Sus scrofa: one gene and its partner. The protein of the gene in region 1 binds, or shares a complex with, the protein of each later gene. Links are inferred from orthologs where the notes say so. Each region holds a gene or a part of one and is shown in the gene's direction. Other genes may lie near its edges. The genes, in order: ATP2A1 and SLN.

The links.
Region 2: the proteins of ATP2A1 (region 1) and SLN are in contact, whole or in part, in a crystal structure (PDB 3W5A), measured with the Oryctolagus cuniculus proteins. The link is inferred for Sus scrofa from reciprocal best matches to the Homo sapiens genes ATP2A1 and SLN. Residues at the interface, in XP_069919846.1 of Oryctolagus cuniculus: Phe88, Val89, Leu96, Ala100, Ile103, Val104, Trp107, Arg110, Asn111, Asn114, Arg324, Lys328, Trp794, Leu797, Gly801, Leu802, Thr805, Ala806, Phe809, Trp932, Ser936, Leu939, Leu943, Leu946, Ile947, Val950, Pro952, Leu953, Ile956; in NP_001075856.1 of Oryctolagus cuniculus: Met1, Glu2, Arg3, Ser4, Thr5, Arg6, Glu7, Leu8, Leu10, Asn11, Phe12, Val14, Val15, Thr18, Val19, Leu21, Ile22, Trp23, Leu25, Val26, Tyr29.

What each region holds. Positions count from the first base shown.
Region 1 is NC_010445.4:18,547,973-18,551,782, forward strand, and holds part of ATP2A1 (sarcoplasmic/endoplasmic reticulum calcium ATPase 1), read left to right. Parts: 5' UTR 1-198; coding exon 199-316; intron 317-647; coding exon 648-665; intron 666-1,014; coding exon 1,015-1,097; intron 1,098-2,524; coding exon 2,525-2,629; intron 2,630-3,384; coding exon 3,385-3,523; intron 3,524-3,810. UniProt on the Homo sapiens protein: Key regulator of striated muscle performance by acting as the major Ca(2+) ATPase responsible for the reuptake of cytosolic Ca(2+) into the sarcoplasmic reticulum.
Region 2 is NC_010451.4:36,239,496-36,243,799, reverse strand, and holds the start of SLN (sarcolipin), read left to right. Parts: upstream 1-1,394; 5' UTR 1,395-1,551; intron 1,552-4,304. UniProt on the Homo sapiens protein: Reversibly inhibits the activity of ATP2A1/SERCA1 and ATP2A2/SERCA2 in sarcoplasmic reticulum by decreasing the apparent affinity of the ATPase for Ca(2+). Also inhibits the activity of ATP2A3/SERCA3.

The sequences.
Region 1 (3,810 bases):
GGGGGGGGTGGCCGGCTGCTGCAAGTGGGACTGGGGTCAGAGCTTCGTGGAGGGAAGAATAAGCTGGGGGGGGTAGGAGAGAGAGAGGAAGAAACCCAGACGGACAGGCAGGTGGACACACTGAGGAAGGCCCCCCACGCGTGAGGAAACCCCCCCAGAAGGAACAGACCGCCCCCTGGCCCCCAGGAAGGGAGCACCATGGAGGCTGCACACTCCAAGACCACAGAAGAATGTTTGGCCTATTTTGGGGTGAGCGAGACCACAGGCCTCACCCCGGACCAAGTTAAGCGGCATCTGGAGAAATACGGCCACAATGGTAAGTGTCCCTTGCAGGAGAGGCCGGTCGTGCCCTCCCGCATCTGCACAACACACACATGGACTCACACTCACACACCAGGGCCTTGCGCTCCAGGGGATCCTAGGGAGGAGACAGGTCATGGACCAATGACTGCAGGGGAGGGGAGGATACTGAGAAAACAGGGTCCCTGAGACCCAGAGATTGGAGAAGTTCTATGGATAACCTTGGTGAACCTCAGCTGCCCTTTTGGTGGCCTGATTCTCTTACCTTAGCCACAAAGTCCTGGGTGCGGGCGGCATTGCACTGAATGCCAAATGAATGTGTCCTTTTCTTCTTTCTCTCTGGGCAGAGCTCCCTGCTGAGGAAGGTAAGTTCCACCTCTTCCCCTCTGTGCCCCACTCCCTTCTTCCTGCCCTCTCCTTCTGACTCCTGGGACAAATGTTCCTCCCCAAAGGTTAGAGCCTGGCCCGGGGCAGAAGTTTCCGGGCACTTTCTCCTTGAGGCATCCAGCCCTTGAACAACTGCCCACTCCTTGGAGGAGCCTGTTTTTGGACTCCTGGCCTGTTCCCTCAGCCCTTTTCTCAGCATCAAATGGCCTGCCCATCACCACAGACCCTTTCTGCTCCAGGCTGGATCCCAGCCTGCACCCAGAGTCCCAGCCGGTCATCTGTTAGACCTTAACCCCGAGGGCTCCCTCCCCTTGCTTCTTCCCCCAGGGAAGTCCCTGTGGGAGCTGGTGATAGAGCAGTTTGAAGACCTCCTAGTGCGGATCCTTCTCCTGGCCGCCTGCATTTCCTTTGTAAGTGTGGGAGGGCCTCTGGGGGCTGGCTGGGGCTGTGGGTTGGGGGGATCTGGAGAGTCTGCTGGCGACCGGCTCCAAATCATGGGTTCCTCTAGTCCGAGCCTTCAGCATCCTATTCTCCAGACCAGAACCGAGAGAGGTGGGGTGACGCTGATTTGCATATTCCTCTGTCCTCCCCCACACCCCACAGGCAGGTTTTATTTTAAGCTTTAGGGTGTTCTCAGCCAAAACATTGAAGCTAAGCCGCCCCCGGAGCTTCAAGGGCTCCGAGGTCTCGGGTTACCCCCCTAAGCGCTCCGCGGCTGGGCTCCACGGCTCACACGCCGCCGCTGAGGTTCCCAGGCCACCACTGCTCCCGGCATGCCGCGGGACGCACAAACCGCTCCACCAATCCCTGAGCATCCTGACACCCCGGCCCCGCCCTCCTGGCGCTGATTGGTTGAAGCAAAGACTCCCTCCCAGAGGCGGGAAAAAGCGGCTGGTGCCAGGGTGACTCCAAAAGCACCTAATGGCCCAGACCCCTCATCTGTCTCTGAGCTTCGCCTCCCAACTCCCCCCATCGGGGCTGGAACTCCGGGATCCCCCTCCTCACCCACCTGACCTGACCTGACCCTTCCCCCTCACAGCCTCAGGGCCGCCCCCACCGCCCTCTTAAGGCCCTGGCACCTCTCCTGCCCTGGAGCTCCCCTCAGCACCCACCATCCCAGCATCCAGCCTGCATTTGAGAGTTTCTTCCTTAACATCTTAGTTCTCAAAGACAAGACTCTGGAGGCCCCAAAGTCCCCGTGTCCCCTGGTCTCTATAGTGGAGGCCCCGTGGGCCCCTGAGTACTAGCTGGCAGGGCCTCCCTTCTCCTTCTCAGATTTGCTCCTTGACATTTGCCTGGGGCTGTTGCCTGGCAGTGGCAACAGCTGGGGTGGGGTGTGTACAGGAGGCCCCGTAACACTATCCCCCCCTCCTGCTCCCTCTTGAAATTGGAGCTTCCCTGCCTCGTCTTGCTGTGGGGGAGGGCCATGGGTGGGCCCAGCGCCTGCAGGGACCACAGGGTCTTGCCTAGCGCGTTTTGGCTCCTGTGGGATGGATGTGGCTCAGGGGGCAGTTGGCCTGGGTGTCCCCGGAGCTTCGTTTACAAGCCAACTACTTGGTCAGGGAAACCTGAAAGCATTCCCAGCTAATCCCTGAGCTGTGCATGTCTGTGCCCGCCTGTGCCCGCTGAATATCAGCAACCGCCGGGCTCGTGTGAGTCTGGGCCATGGAGCGTGTCGGCCCTCAAAGCGACGTGGGGCGGCGGTGCTCCTGTGATGCCCCGTCCCATTTGCTCCTGTGCAGGTTCTCACCTCCATTTCTTCTCCTCACCCCTGTGGGGGGGGGGAAGAGTGTGGGGGGGCTTAATTACCCATTCTCCTCCCTTCCCTTGTTCCCAGGTGCTGGCCTGGTTTGAGGAAGGCGAAGAGACAGTCACTGCCTTTGTCGAGCCCTTTGTCATCCTCTTGATCCTCATTGCCAACGCCATTGTGGGAGTTTGGCAGGTTAGCTTTGACGCTGCCTCATTCCTTCACATCCTGACACTGAACACTGAACGTGAGGCCAGCCTCCGTCCCCGTCTCCTCCTCCTCCTCCTCCTCCATCACCTCCCCTGGGCTTGCCTTGTTCTCTGGTCCTTTTGCTCAGTTTGGAAAAGGAACAGAACATTGGAAGGACGGGGGGGGGGGGGGGACTGGTCCCTACTGTCACTTGCTGGCTGTACAACCCTGGGCAAGTTCCTTCATCTCTCTGAATCTCAGTTTCCTTGTCTATAAAATGAGGCTCATCATCCCGGCCCTCAGAATTGTGGTGACACGTAACAAGACAATGAGTGTGAACGTGCCCAGCCCTGTGTGTGGCCTATGGGAGGATTTCTGCAAATGCTAGTTTGATGTCCTTTTTTCTCTTACCTTATACCATCCTCTGCTTTTCCTATCCCCTGCTTTCTGATTTTTTTTAAATTCTCCTTCCAAACTCCTCTGCCTGTTCTAGGCTGTGAGTCAGTTTCCTGAACACACACATGCACACACACACCCCTTCATGTTGGGTCGGGGGTGGGGGGGGGATTGTCTTCTTCCCTGGGCCAGGAGCCAGGACTGCATAACCTGCCTCCTTCCCTGTGATGCCCCCACTTCCCCCGGGGACTCCGGTCCCTACTCTTCTGAACCTACACCACTTGCATCCTCCAGGACCAGTGCCCTCTCATCCCACCACCTCCCTTCCTCTGCCAACCCTCCTCTCCTCAACCCTGTCCCCCCAGGAGCGGAATGCAGAGAATGCCATTGAGGCTCTGAAGGAATATGAGCCCGAGATGGGGAAGGTCTACCGGGCTGACCGCAAGGCAGTACAAAGGATCAAGGCCCGAGACATTGTCCCCGGAGACATCGTGGAGGTGGCGGGTAAGTGATGGGGACGAGTGGTCCAGGATGGGTCCGAGGCCAAGAAGATGTGTATGTGGAGAGTGGGGGCTGGTTGGCCCTTGATCGTGGTGTCCAGAAGGTAGCCGGGATGGTGGACTTTCTGCTTCTCCTTCCCAGACTCCTCAGGAGGTCACCCCAGGGCACGGTGGCCAGAGCACCCCCCCTCTCCGTCAGCGTCTCAGCAGGAACAGCCAGTCCTGTCCCTGAAGCTGCAGGCAGACCCCCTGCTCCCCCTCCTCTCCCCGAGCACTTGCAGGCAACAGGTG
Region 2 (4,304 bases), on another chromosome or scaffold:
CACCCCATCTCCTCATTTTGCTCTGGAAGTAAGTATAACTTTGGTACCTTTAGTATCTGTGCAGAGGGGGCTGCAGAGGAAGTAGTATCTGGCAGGCATGGTTGACACCCAAGGCAAGTAGTGGTGGTTCTTGGCAGATGGCAGTTGTTCACAGAGAAAGTAACAGTGATGTCCTGTTTTTGTGCTGTTCCTCAGTGGGAGTGGTTGATATCTAAGTGCCTGGTGAGTACTGTAACATCTAGCAAGAGGGCTAGGACAGAAGAAGAAAAAGTTAGCTTGTTAGCACAAAATGTGTGCCCCCATGTCTTCAAATATCTTCAGGCCAAAGATATAATTCAGGCCTCCTCTTCTGGCCCATACTGGCCAATGGGGGCAAGAACAAACAAAATACACGCTAAAGAGAGGAGGCCTAAACCACCTCTCCCAGATAAGCTGCCCAAATTCCCGGAATACTAGCCCCTGGCAACTCCACATTCACTTACTGTAAAAGTGTAAAAGGTTAGGTTACTGTAGAACAAGTGCTCGATTGCCCTCCGAGATAGCACATCCCTCATCCAAAAGGAAACTTAGCCTGTATCTTGCATCCAGTTAATCTTCTTCCACATTACTGCAACTAGGCACTTTTGTTTTCTCATTACCTTCACAGGCAGCAGAGAGAGATTTTCATGATTCTTCATGATTCTATTCTCTCTGCTTTAAATAGCTAAAGGCTTAAGCCAAACGAACTCGTTTACAGAGAACAAGCAATTTTGTCTTGTCTATATTATTCTTACTGAAATGGTAATTGTGTTATCCGACAGATTCTCAAGAGAGATTCAGTGAAAATACCCTTGATCAAATTCACCAAGGAACAGAATGTTTCAGGTGGGCGTGTCTGGCTAGAATCTCTCTGAGCTGTTCAGTAACAGCACATCAAAAGATTGCTGAATTTTTATTTCCCATCAGAAAAATAACAAAGCGAATCTGAAATCTGGGAGTGTTTTGAGGGCAGATGGTATTAGCTTAGTAGTAAACACATTTTTGGCTGCTGCTTTTTCCCCCCCTTTGGCAGCTATGTTTAATGGGCTGAGAGAAAGCTGTTTGCTTGCAGAATCTTATTATAGAGCAGAAATATACTTGTTCCAGAGAAGAGGAATTTAATTGGTTCCAAGTCAAATGATGTTAACAGGTGTCACCCCACCAATCCAGGACTTAAAATGGGTTATTATAAACAGGACTAATACGTATTTTTCTGGCTCTGACACCCACCTATTATGCAAGACTGCATGCCCCTGTAATGTTCCTCTGAATTATTTCTAGCAACTTTAGGGGGTGGTTGACATGTGCTCACGCACACGTACTGTCGGCTACCACATAGTGCCTGCCATTTTCTTGCCCTTTAGCTCAAGCTCCTCTCTGCTGCCATCTGCCACTAAGGCCTGCACAGCTTAATATAAACTACAAGGAAGTCTCGATCAGTATTTCTGCTTCTGCCAGGCTCCGTGACACTTCAATGGAAGGACATTACATTGCTGGTTCCATGGATGCACTGAGGTCCACAAGATGGCACAGGTAGACGGAGAATCTCTGCCCCTTTTAGTGCTCCATACCGTTGAGGTAAATTGTCAAAGAGTTGGGGAGTTTTTACCCATAGCGCTCTCTTCCTCTAGGATCCAGACCTCAAGCTTAGTGAAGTAGGATGGGTAGTGTGTGGGAGTGGTGCCATGGAATGTGCCTCTCAGATGTGACTGCACCGTACTTGAGGTGGACCCCAGCTGCTCTTCTCTGAAATCATAATCACGTTTGCATGGGGGGCCTTGCTTCCCTGGCAGCTGTCAGCCAGTAACGGAATTGCAGTCTAAGATGCTTCTACCCAACCTCCCTTCCTTTTTCCCTTGTCTCTTTCTCTTGCCATTTGATGACTGCAATGGAATAACTCTCTATTCTCCCTGTTGTTGACCACATGTGTCTTCTTGATCAAAACTCCCTTCAGAGTTTTCTCTCCCAGGTGATTTCTAGGTCCTTTTTATGAGTAGATTGGATGTTGACCTCAATTTCCCCCACTCTCGTTTGCCTGTCATGCTCAGCCGTTTGGGGATCTCAGGATAAGAAGTGATGTGAGCTCCTTGCTATGTATGCTCAAGCATCTATTATGATTCTTTACTAGTTCGATGCAGTTAGAGAAACAAAAGGAATATAAGAATTTATCCTTGCCTTTGAAATTTTTTTGGATGAAATATATTGTACTAATTAAACAGAAGAATTCACCATTAATAAAAGAAAACCTACAGGAAGGGAAGCATCCAAAGGGCAATCAAAAAGTTAGGCAAGTTTACTAGCTTTAAAATACATCAACACACTGCCTTTGAAATTAAGGTTAGTTAGTAAGCCAAAAATCACACATGTGCCACAAGGACTTAAAAATATAGATAATAATCATTAATTTTTCAAGGACGTGGATAGCACTTTAAGGAATATGGTTTCCTCTTTCCCTGGGCTTGTACTCCTGTGCTTGGGATAATGGAAGAGCATAGCAGAAAGCTGTTTCTTTCTTTCTGAGCAGCTCCATGTCCCGTTGAATGTGAAGATGTGAAGGTGAGAGAGGCACCGTAATTATCAGACTCATTGCTGTGATGTGTTAAGAGCTTATCGCCTTTCATTGAGGCCTTGCTGAATTCTCCCATTGGGTCAGAGACTAGTAAAATTCATGGTCTGACATAAGGTCTTCACTTTTTGCTTCCAAAGTAAAAAGATTGATGGAAATTGGGAGTAAATTAAACAAGTTAATTTAGCTCTTAATTAAGCATAAGAACACAGCATTAATTTTCAAAGGATATAATATTTTACACTTAGGAATGTATATGATGGTATGGATTGGGTGTCAATACCAATATCAATGTGAATGTTGTTTTCTTAACATTTTTGACCTTTGGCTAAATTGTAGATTAATAAGCATAGAAATAAGATCAAGGATTGTTTAGTATGTCCTCCTATTGATGGGAAGGTCAGCACCTTGAAAGAAAGTTGATATGTAATGTTAAGTCATGCGAATTACAGAAAATATCAGCAGAATTAAGTAAGGTTAATTTAAAGAGAGAAATTTTCTTTGGCAGCAAGGTTTGAAATCTCATTATTCCAGCTTTTTAAATGAGAACAATAGTGTTGATTTTTTTTTTTTTTAATGGACTCACAGATCCTCAGTGTTAAACTCTGCTTTAAGCCTTTGAATAGTTGTCATGTGACTTTGGGTGGCTTGCATATTTTTCAGGGAAGGGTTAGGTCAAACTAATGATGAGCTGAATTCTTAGTGTTATCACACTCTCTCATGGCATCACAGGATAAACCACTAATATTAAGCTGCTTCTGAAGTCTCTATCTGGGAATTTATGAATGTGCTGGGCACAATAGTCCCTGGTATAATGTTGGATAAACTTAAATGGGACAGCCAAACAGAAAAACTAAGCTAACTCAAGAATAAGCAGTAGGATTATCTTCAAGTTACATTGAAATTGACCAGTTCAACTAAATTGACAGTTAGTAAGCTGTTTTGTGATATGTTAACATTTCCCCATTGTATTTAATATTTAATTTTTTGATGGGGGCAGCCTGCAGCATGCAGAAGTTCCTGAGCCAGGGATGGAACTTGCACCACAGCAGTAACCAGAGCCACAAGAGTAACAACACTGGATCCTTAACCCACTGAGTCACCAGAGAACTCCTATTTTTTTTTTTTTTTTCTTTTTTGGCTGCTGCATGGTATATGGAGTTCCTGGGCCAGGGATCAGATCCAAGCCACAGCTGTGACATAAGCCACAGCTATGGCAATGCTGGTGGATCCTTAACCTGGTGTGCTGGGCTGAGGATCGAACCTGCATCCCAGGGCTCCCAAGATGCTGCTGATCCTATTGTGCCCCAGTGGGAACTCCCAGGGAACTCTTATTTAACATTTAAAATATTGTGGAGCTAATTCCTATTCCAATATATACAAAATAAATGCTTTCCCATAAATCCAATACCAATACATGGTACAGTATGAATAATTTCATTCTATAAGAATCAAAAAAGATAAAGGTTTTTCAAGTATCAGATTCTTTTACCAAAATGAACTTGTGAATTTGAGATTGTACCTATGGAACCTCAAACATGAATAAAAAGTGATATAAAGTTTTTTTGTTTTTTGGGGTTTTTTTGCTTTTGGGTGGTGATATTAATGGTAATTTAAAATATCTTTATACTTTTATATTTTCAAATTTTTAGAATAAATATATAACTTTTTAATTGGACAAAAAATAATTTTGAGTGGTTATAAAAAGGGATAGGAATAG